Coturnix japonica: one gene and its partners. The protein of the gene in region 1 purifies or fractionates together with the protein of each later gene. This does not show direct contact. Links are inferred from orthologs where the notes say so. Each region holds a gene or a part of one and is shown on either strand. Other genes may lie near its edges.

The links. The genes of interacting proteins can lie anywhere in the genome.
Region 2: the proteins of NOP58 (region 1) and SNU13 fractionate together in Homo sapiens (co-fractionation; 3 studies listed by BioGRID and IntAct, with this or other methods). This does not show direct contact. The link is inferred for Coturnix japonica from reciprocal best matches to the Homo sapiens genes NOP58 and SNU13.
Region 3: the proteins of NOP58 (region 1) and NUFIP1 purify together in Homo sapiens (co-immunoprecipitation; 3 studies listed by BioGRID and IntAct, with this or other methods). This does not show direct contact. The link is inferred for Coturnix japonica from reciprocal best matches to the Homo sapiens genes NOP58 and NUFIP1.

The regions. Positions count from the first base shown.
Region 1 is NC_029522.1:10,257,727-10,261,238, reverse strand, and holds part of NOP58 (nucleolar protein 58), read right to left. Parts: intron 2,603-3,512; coding exon 2,478-2,602; intron 1,864-2,477; coding exon 1,727-1,863; intron 597-1,726; coding exon 532-596; intron 1-531. UniProt on the Homo sapiens protein: Required for the biogenesis of box C/D snoRNAs such as U3, U8 and U14 snoRNAs. Part of the small subunit (SSU) processome, first precursor of the small eukaryotic ribosomal subunit.
Region 2 is NC_029516.1:45,199,845-45,203,954, reverse strand, and holds SNU13 (NHP2-like protein 1), read right to left. Parts: upstream 2,803-4,110; 5' UTR 2,680-2,802; coding exon 2,677-2,679; intron 2,092-2,676; coding exon 1,971-2,091; intron 1,051-1,970; coding exon 788-1,050; 3' UTR 99-787; downstream 1-98. Other genes in the region: MEI1 (meiosis inhibitor protein 1), read left to right, coding at 2,808-2,951, 3,089-3,212.
Region 3 is NC_029516.1:150,056,784-150,060,771, forward strand, and holds the start of NUFIP1 (nuclear fragile X mental retardation-interacting protein 1), read right to left. Parts: upstream 2,803-3,988; 5' UTR 2,796-2,802; coding exon 2,609-2,795; intron 2,399-2,608; coding exon 2,310-2,398; intron 468-2,309; coding exon 363-467; intron 1-362. Other genes in the region: GPALPP1 (GPALPP motifs-containing protein 1), read left to right, coding at 2,925-3,009. UniProt on the Homo sapiens protein: Binds RNA.

The DNA.
Region 1 (3,512 bases):
TGATTATGATGCAGACGTCTTCAAAGACGAATGAGGAATGGGTGTCCCTGTCTGTGTTTACAGTTGCAGTCTGTTTTTCATTAAGAAAGCATGGGCACGGAAAGCAGCATTAAAAACCGCAGTGGTTTCTACACCTCTAAGGTAAGAGCATCTCCACATTGTACTATATGTGACCTAGCACAAAAATGGAGATTCAGAAAGCCCTGTTCTGTGGGGCCCAGACACTCTCCCAAAATAACTGAGGTGAGGCACGTTGGGTAGTGAAGTCCTCAGAGGACTGAACTTACACTGCCTGTATTTCAGCTCATCTCTATGCTAAGAAAACAGATATCGGCTTACCGTACCACCCTAACAGTGTTAGTGTTTGTGGTAAATCCTATTGAGATTACAAACCTTATGCCTAGCTGAACACAATATAATTTACTGTAACATTCTAAGGGAAAAAAAAATTACACCAATACTTCCCTGCAACCAGCATGAAGAAGGCAAATAAATTGAACCATGAATAATTTAGGCTCTAAATATACTTACAAATTGCCTGGACGATCATGGTATCTACTTTGTCTGGGCTGAATTTCAACTTGTATCGAGAAAGGCTGTGGATACAGAAATAATTTCATTAGCACACTGACCTCCCACTGCAGAGTACATCCCACCCATCCCTGTTTTACAGGAACGTGGCTGTCCATACATTCATTCATACCAGCTCAACTTTATAGTGCTGACCACTCCCACCTGTGACCACTGAGGAAACCCTGACCACACGACCTTTCTGAGCAACTGTGACATACACATGCATATGCTATGAAAAAAGTGAAAGCTAAGGCCAACTGTACCACAAGCATCAGACTGAGCACAAACACTGTGGCAGGAAATAAGTTTCTGGTTTCCTTCTGCAATGCTTCCCACAAAAATTATTTGTCAATAGCACTTTCAGTTCTGCAGCAGTTGAAAGTGATCCACAAAACACAACCTACACTGCAGCAAATATCAGCAATGGTAGCAAGAAGTAATAGAAGAAACACCTGGCTTTTGACATATGATTAAAATTTCTACAGTAAAACACATGATATCCACAAGGGCTTAAATGTTCCAATTATTGTTTTTTTAATATATGAATGTCTACATTCTAGACATCATTAGCAGCAACAAATGCATCTTCAAAGTATTAGCTACAACAAAGCAGTTCTCTAACTTGCCAATGGCTACAGAACAAGTTCATATCAAAAAAGGGATTAAAAGTTGCTCATGAGGGCATGCCTGACCCTGTGCTGATCCAGCAATTCTTTTCTCCTTTACTACTCCACCAAGCCTAGCAAGGCACGATGGTGAGAAGGGAAATACATCTCTGCCTTTAATATTTACATTATACACATTACACATGCACATATGCCAGTGTAAATCAAGAAATCATAATCCTCCCATCTCTAAATGGCAATGGAGTTTTAAACTAACCATTCAACTACTACAGAGACATTTCATACCAAGCTCTGTAGTGAAGGGAAAGGAAGCTATCAACTTTGGGATGAGGCTGAAGCCTTTTCCCAAGAAGGTGGTTGCAAACTGGAAAATCCCTGTGAAACAAGGCTTCAGATGCACATGTATGTTGACTTATAAAGTGAATATGAAACCATACCACATAGAGACATCTGAAGCAGCAAAGAGCAGCCAAGGACACAGGAGTAGAGCAGTGACAGGATGAAACAGAGCTGTGCTAGGAACTCACCTGTGTGCCAGACCCAGACACATAGCTGCCATCTCTCTGGAAGGGAGGCCTGTAATAAGCCCTTCAATCTGTGAACGAATCCCTCTCATCAGCTCTGTAACCATCGGGCTGTGTATACAACTCAAATTCAGCTTATCCTGTAAGATGGAAGTCATTGAGCCTAAGTCAGACATGACAATATTTCTCTAAATCCCTTCTTCCAGAGCTTTATCTCATTACACCTGGCTTTCCTAAGGCAATTCTGTGGTCATTCAACAGGTTCAAGTCTTTTTTCATGCTTAAGGTAACGACAACTTCATTTAACTACACTAACAATCCCAGTTTGAAGAGATGTATAATTCAGCCTCTGTTTAAATAATTAAGTCAGAGTCCTTTGTGGTATTCACTTCAACACTGGACTCTTCTCCGTTTGCACCCCACTACAATCTCCTAACACAGGATGAGAACATGGTCAGAATAAAACTCTCTGGAACAGGCAGCAATCAGACATAAGTGTGAGCCTAGGATTGGACAGCTTGGAGATGTCAGAGAAAGTAGACCACCTCTACAGTACTTCTCCCTTCCTCTGGTAGGCAAGAGCTGGAGACATTTGATCATAAGGAACAGTGATTCTCTACACACCACAAACATCACGGGGGCAGCAGGTTACATTGCTAATCATTTTTATCTTTCCAAAACCCGTCTACAAGATCTCAGTAGCATGAAACAGAAAGACAAAGACAAAAAGAAAAACAGCAAAGTCAATTATCACCTTTATGACACCACCAAGTTTAGCATCTGCTACAGCCAACTGTTCGTGGGCATCTTTTGCCACTATCTTCTTGAGAATTTTCTTCAAGTTCTTGCTGAGTTTGCCTTCTACAAGAGCCGTGGATGCTGTAGAAAACAAGACCAAAGATGCAGTTTCTTCCCTTTCCTAAAGCCTGTGACAATATGGCTTCTAACTCGGTATTATTTTGACTGCCACAGTAGCTTTAGCCCGAGCTGCAATACCACAATACCAGCTAAAATAAAAATAGAAGGAAATTATCTTCTTGCCCTTTTGAAGACCTAGATCAAGAATCACCTTCCTATCTGCTGTGCCTTGCTCCATGTGTCTTCAGTCCAGTTTCTCTGCATTTTGCTCATGAAATGCTACTAGTACATAATGCATCTTAGATGTAAAATTCACATTTCCAAAAGCCAAGTTCTAATGGAACATTTTGTATACAGTTTAATTAACCAATCATTTGCCAGGTCCCTCTTAAATCTTAAATTGAGCAATGACTTATTTGCATCCTGTGCTGACAGTAACATATGGTCCTTCAAAGCCCAAGAAAAAAAACAAACACTGCACACATGGACTGGGGAGTCAGAAAAAGACCCTTTTAGTATACACCACATAGACTGAAGCATTTTAAATGGATTCTTTCCATATTCAAGTATTAAATGATCTGCAAGACATTTACAACCCCACACAATACATTTTAAGACGGCACAAATACAACCCTGATACAAATACACTGAACTTCTGTGGCTGATACATCTTCAACATAATACAGAGTACACAAGCCAGTGATTGATTTACAGAATCAATAAAACTAGGCTCCCCAGTACAAAAAAGACAGGGATCTCTTGGAAAGAGTCCAGTGGAGGGCCACAAAGATGGTGAAGGGCCTGGAGCATCTCCCCTATGAGAGAGACTTAGGGAACTGGGTCTGTTTAGCCTTGAGAAAAGAAGGCTGAGAGGTGACTTAATCCAGGTTTATAAATACCTGAGGTGTGGGAGCCACAGTGGCGAGGCTGG
Region 2 (4,110 bases), on another chromosome or scaffold:
CTTTTGTATTGAAATGTCTTAGGAAGCCCAAGCTTTGCAGATCACTGTTGCAATCCATGCAAAGAAAACTGAGAATAACAATTCTGGCCGTTCCTGTATTTAGATTTGTCAGTAATTTTATTTTCTTTTTAAAAAAACAGCATTTAAAAATAAGTGAAATTAGAGATTTCCCCTTGTGCACTGCCGTACGATGTCAGCTCCCCATACACCCTCTTAGAGAAGCCTCTTGCCTGATCTGAAGGCAGGGTTGTGCTATGTGTACTGATCCTGGCTCCACCAGCTGCTTGCTACACAGTAGCCACAGTCCTACACTTTAGTCTATGCTGCTTCGCTTCAAAGCAACAACTCTGGCAGCCCAAATACACGTACTGTGCTGCGGAACCAACACACCTTACTCCCCCATAGAATAAACCATTCTGAAACAAAGATACACCTGTAAGAGGCTGAAGCATTAGGAAGCTAATGGGTAGATTACAAAAGCCCTGAGCAGGCAGATATGGAGATTGGAGGGGATTTTTTTTTCCTTTGAACGTCAAACAGTAAATACAGTTGTACAATCACTTTTCAAGAAGTAATACAACGAGAATGAGAGTTGGAGTGGAATAATAGAGAAAGGGAGGGGAGAAGAGGCAGAGACACTTGAAGAATTAAGCCGCTATTAAACAAAGATGTGATTTTTGAAATGGAACACTGATATCAAAACTATAACGTCATTAACTAAAGCTAGACATTAATTCCCCCTGACTTCACCTTTACCCATTCCACACACACTCAAGCTCAAGGGCGCTCAGACCAACAGTCTCTCTATAGCTTGCTGTACAGACTGGATCTGAGGTTTTAGCTGCGATCCCTCCTTGATAGTGATGGAGCAGGCGATGACAGGCCGGGAAACCCCACACGCCCGGCCTAGGGCCTGCTTGGAGCGCACGAACACATAAGGAACATTCTTGTCCTCGCAGAGAAGAGGTAGGTGCAGGATGATCTCCAAGGGTTCAGCATCGGCAGCCATCACTATGAACTCTGCTATTCCTCGGTTCAGTGTTTTGGTGGCTGCAAAAAGAAACTGAAAGTAAGTCTAGGTTCTGTGAAGCACATCTTGTGAACAACACTAGGAGATGCTGATGTCAGCACGAGCAAGAAGGGGCAGCAAGAGGGCAGGCCAAAGAAAACCATCAGCTACAGGGCCATGTAATAGCACAGCTCCAAGTCCAGAATGAACAGTTTGTGGTCAGCAGTGCACCCATGAGAAGAAGGAAGTTGACCCTTGGAAAACCCATAGCAGGTCCCAGGGAGGGATTATTCATAGGGTCACATCTGAGCTACTGCATCCTTCACAAAGGAGTGAGGCCAGCACAGGGAGAGCAGCTGGGGCACTCTGCAGATGAGAGACCAAGGGAGCTGGATCTGTGCAGACTGGAGAAGAACCAGCCAAGGTGGGATGGAGGAGAGTGACTGCTGCCTTCTGCCACTCCAAGGAGACTGCAGCGAGGATGGAGCCAGGTTATCCCCATGAACGCACAGCTTAAAGGACTGTGACTGCAGACTCTGACTGCTGCCTTGGGGAAACTCTGGAGATATGAGGAGAAAAAAAATCCTGGCAGAAGAGCAGTTTAAGCCATAGGAGACTGTGGAGTTTCCACGCTTAAGGACTTTTATTTTGTTCAGATGAAGCTTAACCAGATATGGCCTTGAGCAGCTCAGTCACGCTGTGAAGGGACATTCTCTGAGCTGTCTGAACTACAGAGCTCCCCTCAACTCCCAGTTATCTTATGATTTTAAGCTGGCAAGACACCTGGTCATCTCAGTGCCGCATCATATATGATCACAGTATATGCACCAGGAACACACTTTGAGCATCTAAGAGGAGGAAGGAAAGGGTCACTCGTGCCAGACCGAGCTATATAATATTCATGGCCACAGCTGGAGAAGAAAATACAATCTCCAGCCACAGCTTCACACAGTATTCCCACCTTCATTGGCTCCTTTGCGTAGCTGCTTGTAGTTGCAGGACTGCTGCACAAGGTCCAGCAGCGTCTTGGTGAGCTGCGCGTCAGCCAGTGGGTAAGCTTTGGGGTTCACCTCTGCCTCACTCTAGAAACCGGAGAAAGGGAAAGATGGGAGAGTGGTACAGCAGGGGCAAAAGAGTTTGTTCCGAGGGGCATTAGAGAGGCAGCATGTCTACCACGTGTAGTCCATTACTGAATCACTAAGGTTGAAAAAGAGCACCAGCATCACCCAGTCCAACCTTTAGCCCACCCCCACCATGCCCACTGACCACATCCCTCAGTGCCACATCCACACGGCTCTGGAACACCTCCAGGGATGGTGACTGCACCACCTCCTTGTGCAGCCCGTGCCACCGCAGCACCGCTCCTACTGAGAAACGCTTCCTGATATCCAACCTGAACGTCCCTTGGCGCAACTTGAGGCCATCACCTCTCATCCTACAGCTCCTACCGGGGAGAAGAGGCTGCCCCCACCTCGCCACAACCTCCCCTCATGCACCTATGAATGCGTGTATCACGTGTACCAGCCCACAACCCACCCACGGACGCCCTTCGGCACAGCCCCACGCAGCGCGGCCCCCACGTGCTCCCCGCTGCCCGCCCGCCGCCTCGGTGTGCAGGGGAGCGGACCCTGCCCGGCGCATCCCGCCTCCCCCCCGACCCCGCTCACCATGGCGGCGGCGCGGTGCAGCTCTCGGACACTCGGGGCCCAACGCTCGTGCGCGCAGCGGGCCGCACGCCGCCGGAACTGAGGGAACGGCGGAGGGAAGAGGCGGGCCGTGCCTCGCCGGGAGCCTGCCCATGGCGCGCCCTAGCGGCCGTGAGGCGATGGCGGCGGGCTGCGAGAGCGTGCGTGATCGGCACGGTGCGAGGTGGAACCTGCCGCTCCGACCGCCGCTGTGCCTCGCCTGCGCTGTGGAGACGCTGGGCGATGGCGGCGCCTCGGTGCGGCTTCCCCTTCCTTGTAGGCCTCGGTACCCCGCAGCCCGCTGCTGCCTTGAGGCAGGGGCACGGAACGCGGGGTAACGCTTTTAGTGCCGTTCGGGCAGGCCTGGATGCTGACGGTTGTCTCCCACCCGCAGCTGGTGCGGAAGAAACACGCGCTGTCCCGGCTGCGCGATGCCCTGGCCTGGCAGGCGCTGCCGGTCGTCCAGCTGCTGGCTCCAGACGAGAGGGGCTGCCTCTGTCTGATAGGAACGCTCTTCGGTAAGAGCTCCCACACGGCCTAACAGCACCAAGGAATTCCCTTTTTGTAGGGTTGGGTTGGAAGGGACCTCGAAGAATCTGGGATTTCCCTGACCCAGGCTTCTCCACATTCAGCTCCCCCAACAAAATGGCAGTAGACCACTGGAATACCCAATTCCATGCTCCTGCCAATGTTCTCCATTACATCTTGCTATTCCCCACAGAAAAGGGCCTCTCATTCCAACTAGAATAGGGTAATTAATTTCCCTCTCCCCCAAGGAGCAGAACTGGCATGTTAATAAAGCTCCCACAGCTTTCCTGAGCATCTTCACAGATCTTTAACCTTCATGGAGAACTGAGCGCTCTGGCTTATGGCTCTTCCCAGAACACCCTCTGTTCTGGTCTCATGCCTCAGTGCTTTCTCATCTATACTAAGATCCACACAGAAATGGAAGTGTGAACTTAAAAAGGGCGCTACAGGATTTACTATCAAATAGTACGGTATTTCTTTCTCCCACTGTCACTTTATATTAGCTGAAATCCTTCTAGCCATAGGACTGTGACACCTGTTTCTTCCTGGTGGGTCAGCCTCCTAGCAGAGCAAAGAGATGTTAGAAAGTGCCTTTCCAATAGTGGTCCTTCCGATCTCAGTAATCTCTCACTGTCTCTGCACAGCAGCGCTGTGGGTAAGGTCTTTGAAATCTCTAAAATCCTGTCAGAAGAGAAATAATGGTGTAAATGAGGGAACAGTCAGGCAGGAAGAAAAAGGTGGAGGTTATGAATGCAAATGCTTTCAAAGAGCAATTATACTGGGTTTCTTGAAGTCCACAGCCTCATTTGCACATCACAGATACGTGCTTTGCGCGAGGTGACTTACAAGCCCCTTCCCTTGCCACAACACTGAATAATTCAAGCTGTG
Region 3 (3,988 bases), on another chromosome or scaffold:
CAACTTCAAATTGTGTTACTTCTTTGCAGTAAGGGAATGCATCATAAAATCTCTACCACATAAAGCATTTTCACACATATTTCATGTGCTACGCTAATGTCAGTGAAGTTGCTCATAATGCTGGAGTGAATTAACAATGATTCAGAAGAACATTAAAATGACTTGAGCAATAAAGCCAAAAACACAACTGAAAGCTTCCCTAGACACAGTGTATAAAAAAATCTCCTAGCAGCTCAGGAATCTGTTGCTAGGTCTATCATCATAAGAGTGCCTACAGCACTCCGTGAACTGGCATATGTGAGCTCTACAGTTCATATATGAAACTAGAGATTGAAATAAAAATAACGCAAGTAAAGTTCAACCTGTATATGCTGTGAAATATGTTCATCGTACTTCTCCTGGTTTTTATAGCCTCGGTCACAGGTATCGCAATAGTGAGAGAAAACTGGCTCCTTCTTTTTTTTGTTCTAAGAGGAAGGAAAAAAAAAATAAAAATCCAGCATAGAAGTTAAAAGGTTACAAGGTGCTCCCTGTTTAATTAGATAAGATTTAATAAAATCGGAAATATTTCAGTAATAATTCCAATAAAACATTCAAAATGATCTATATTAACAAAGCTATACATTAACAATTCATATCATTTATTTTTTAAACAAAATGCAGTACACTCAGTTCTTCCTGCTACTACCCTTCTATAATCACTTCTGCAGACACAGGCTTAGCAGCAGCTTGGAGAAGAGCCAGGGCTACAGCTCCACACATCTCCTCCCCATAGAGTCAAGTCTACGCCTGTTCTAATATCCCAGGTAGGAGCTCAAGGGGCAGTAGGGACCTTTCCCCCTCCCACCATCACAGCAAAGTGATGAGGTTGTCAGGGTCTGAAAACATAATGAACCACTGAAGTGTTTTATGCATCTGGGCACCATCAAAATAAAGGCTTTTATTGAGATTATGCATTTTAGGATTTGATCCCTTCATTGAGCTCAGGGTTTGAGGCCTCAGTTGGAAGGAAACTTAAAGCCCAACCAGTTTCCAGCCTCCTGCCATGTGCAGGGCTGCCACACAGCAGCTGAGGCTGCCCAGGGCCCCATCCAATGTGGTCTTACATGCCTGTAGGGATGGGGCACCCACAGCTTCTCTGGACAGCTGTGCCAGTGCCTCACTGCCCGAAGCAGATTATTTCTTCCTTATAGTTAACAACGTAGATATAGATGAGATTGAAACTGCTACCTCTTGCTCTCTCACGCTATCTGATGAATATGAATATCCCCTCCCTAACTTCCCTATATGCCCCTTTTAAGTACTGGAAGGCCACAATGAGGCTTCTCCAGAGCCTCCACTTACCATAGAACTCTTTGGGTTGGAAGGGACCCCATGGATCAAGTTCCAACTCCCCTGCCATAGGCAGGGCCACCAATCTCCAGATCTAGCACTAGAACAGGGCTCCACCCAACCTGGTCTCCGGCACCTCCAGTGACAGAGCACACACAACCTCTCTGGACAGCCTGTTCCAGCACCTCACCACTCCCACTGTAAAGAGCTTCCCCCTGACATCCAAGAGCATACCCCACTCTCCCTTCCTTACTCTACAGGAGAAACACTCCAGCCCTCATCCCTGTGGCCTGTTCTAGACTGACTCCAAATTCATATCCCGGATAAAATACTGCAGGTGAAGCCTCACGAGGACAGTCCAGGAGGAAGAATCACTTCCTCAGTCATGCAAGGGAACCACACTTATTTTGCTTGTCATGCACAGAATCACAGAATGAGCCGGGTTGGAAGGGACCTCAAGGATCATGTAGTTCCAACCCCCCTGCCTGGCAGGGCCACCAAACATACACATTTACTAGATCAGGTTGCCCAGGGCCCCGTCCAACCTGGTCTTGAACACCTCCAAGGACGGGGCATCCACAACCTCCCTGGGCAGCCTGTTCCAGGGCCTAACCACTCTCCTAGTGAAGAACTTCCCCCTAACATCCAACCTAAATCTTCCCTCTTTCAACTTAAAACCATTTCCCCGTGTCCTGCTACTGTCAGCCCTTTGAAGAGTTTACTCCCCTCCTGGGAGTAAGTTCCCTTCAGGTATTGAAAGGCTGCAATGAGGTCACCCCGCAACCTTCTCTTCTCCAGGCTGAACAAGCCCAACTCCCTCAGCCTGTCCTCATAGGGGAGGTGCTCCAGCCCCCTGATCATCTTCGTGATGCACATCCAAAACAGGGACACAAGCCCCACATGGCCACCTCCATCCCAGCATCACAGAACAGTTATAACAGAAAGGAAACTCCAAAGGGCATACAGCCCATCTGTACCTTCTGCTTGTTGTTTCCACCAGGAGAACGCTTATGGAAGCCAGGTGCTTGCTCTCCTTGCCATTCCTGCTGAAAATGGCCATTTCCACCTTAAAGAACAAACGAAAAACCCACACAACACAACAGTCGGTTTCAATTGCTGCAGCCAATGAGTCTCACAAGCATGTGGGACCAGATGTGGGGGGGGGGAGAGGGACCCTGCAGACTCAAATCGAGGTCGGAGGATCAGAGAAAATAATAGTAATAAGTACTAAATAGAAGGGAAAAGGAAACAAGGTGACGGGACCCCCCCCACTCACTACCCTGCGGCCGCCTCGTGGGCTCCTGGTAGGCCGGCGGGTACCATGCCGGCGGCGGGGCGTAGCCGTCGGGCGGCGGCCATAAGCCATGTTCCCAAGGGGGCGGAGGGCAAAAGAGCGGCGGGCGAAGCGGTGGGAACCATCCGAACGGGCTGACGGCGGAGCCCAACTCGCCGCCCGGCTGCATGCCCGCCGCGTGACCAGCCGCTCCTACAGCCCGGCCGCCACTAAATGCGTCACTTCCGCTTCCCGTCTCCTTCTTCCGGGGTTAAGCCGGCGCAGCTCTGACGTCACCGGCTCGGCCCCGCCCCCCAACATGGCGCGCGAAATGATCGGCCCCGCGCTGCCGCCCGGCTTCCCGCGCTGCGCGGAACAGGACCCGGATGAGGAGCTGGGGCAGGGTGAGCTCAGCGCTGAGGGGAGGGGGCGGGAACGGGATGAGTGGGAACGGGCTGAGGTGTGACAGTGCTGAGGTGTGGCAGTGCTGTACTGCCACAGTGCTTTCCCCATCTGGAGTACTGTGTCCAGGTGTGGAGCCCTCATTACAAGAAAGACATGGAGATTTTGTTAAGGGTCCAGAGGAGGGCCACAAAGATGATCAGGGGGCTGGAGCACCGCCACTATGAGGACAGGCTGAGGGAGTTGGGCTTGTTCAGCCTAGAGAAGAGAAAGCTGCGGGGTGACCTCATTGCAGCCTTTCAATACCTGAAGGGAACCTACACCCAGGAGGGGAGTAAACTCTTCAAAAGGGCTGACAATAGCAGGACACGGGGAAATGTTTAAGTTAAAAGAGGGCAGATTTAGGTTGGATGTTAGGGGGAAGTTCTTCACTAGGAGAGTGGTTAGCCCTGGAACAGCTGCCCAGGGAGTTGTGGATGCCCCGTCCTGGAGGGTTTCAAGACCAGGTTGGAACGGGGCCCTGGGGCAACCTGGATCTAGTAAATGTGTATGTTTGGTGGCCCTGCCAGGCAGGGGGGTTGGAACTACATGATCCTTGAGGTCCCTTCCAACCCGGGTCATTCTGTGATTCTGTGACCAGAAGGGAGAAGCAGAGCTGCAGTGTGAGGATGGATCCTGTATAAGTCTGGGTGATGGCTTTAAACTGAGACAGGGGAGGTTTAGGTTAGATATTAAAAGGAAGTTTTTCACACAGAGGGTGGTGACGCACTGGAACAGGTTGCCCAAGGAGGCTGTGGATGTCCCATCCCTGAAGGCATTTCAAGGCCAGGCTGGATGTGGCTCTGGGCAGCCTGGTCTGGTTATTGGCAACCCTGCACATAGCAGGGGGTTGAAACTGGGTGATCATTGTGGTCCTCTTCAACCCAGGCCATTCTATGGTTCTATGATTCTGAGAGATGTTTAACAAATATCCCCTATGTC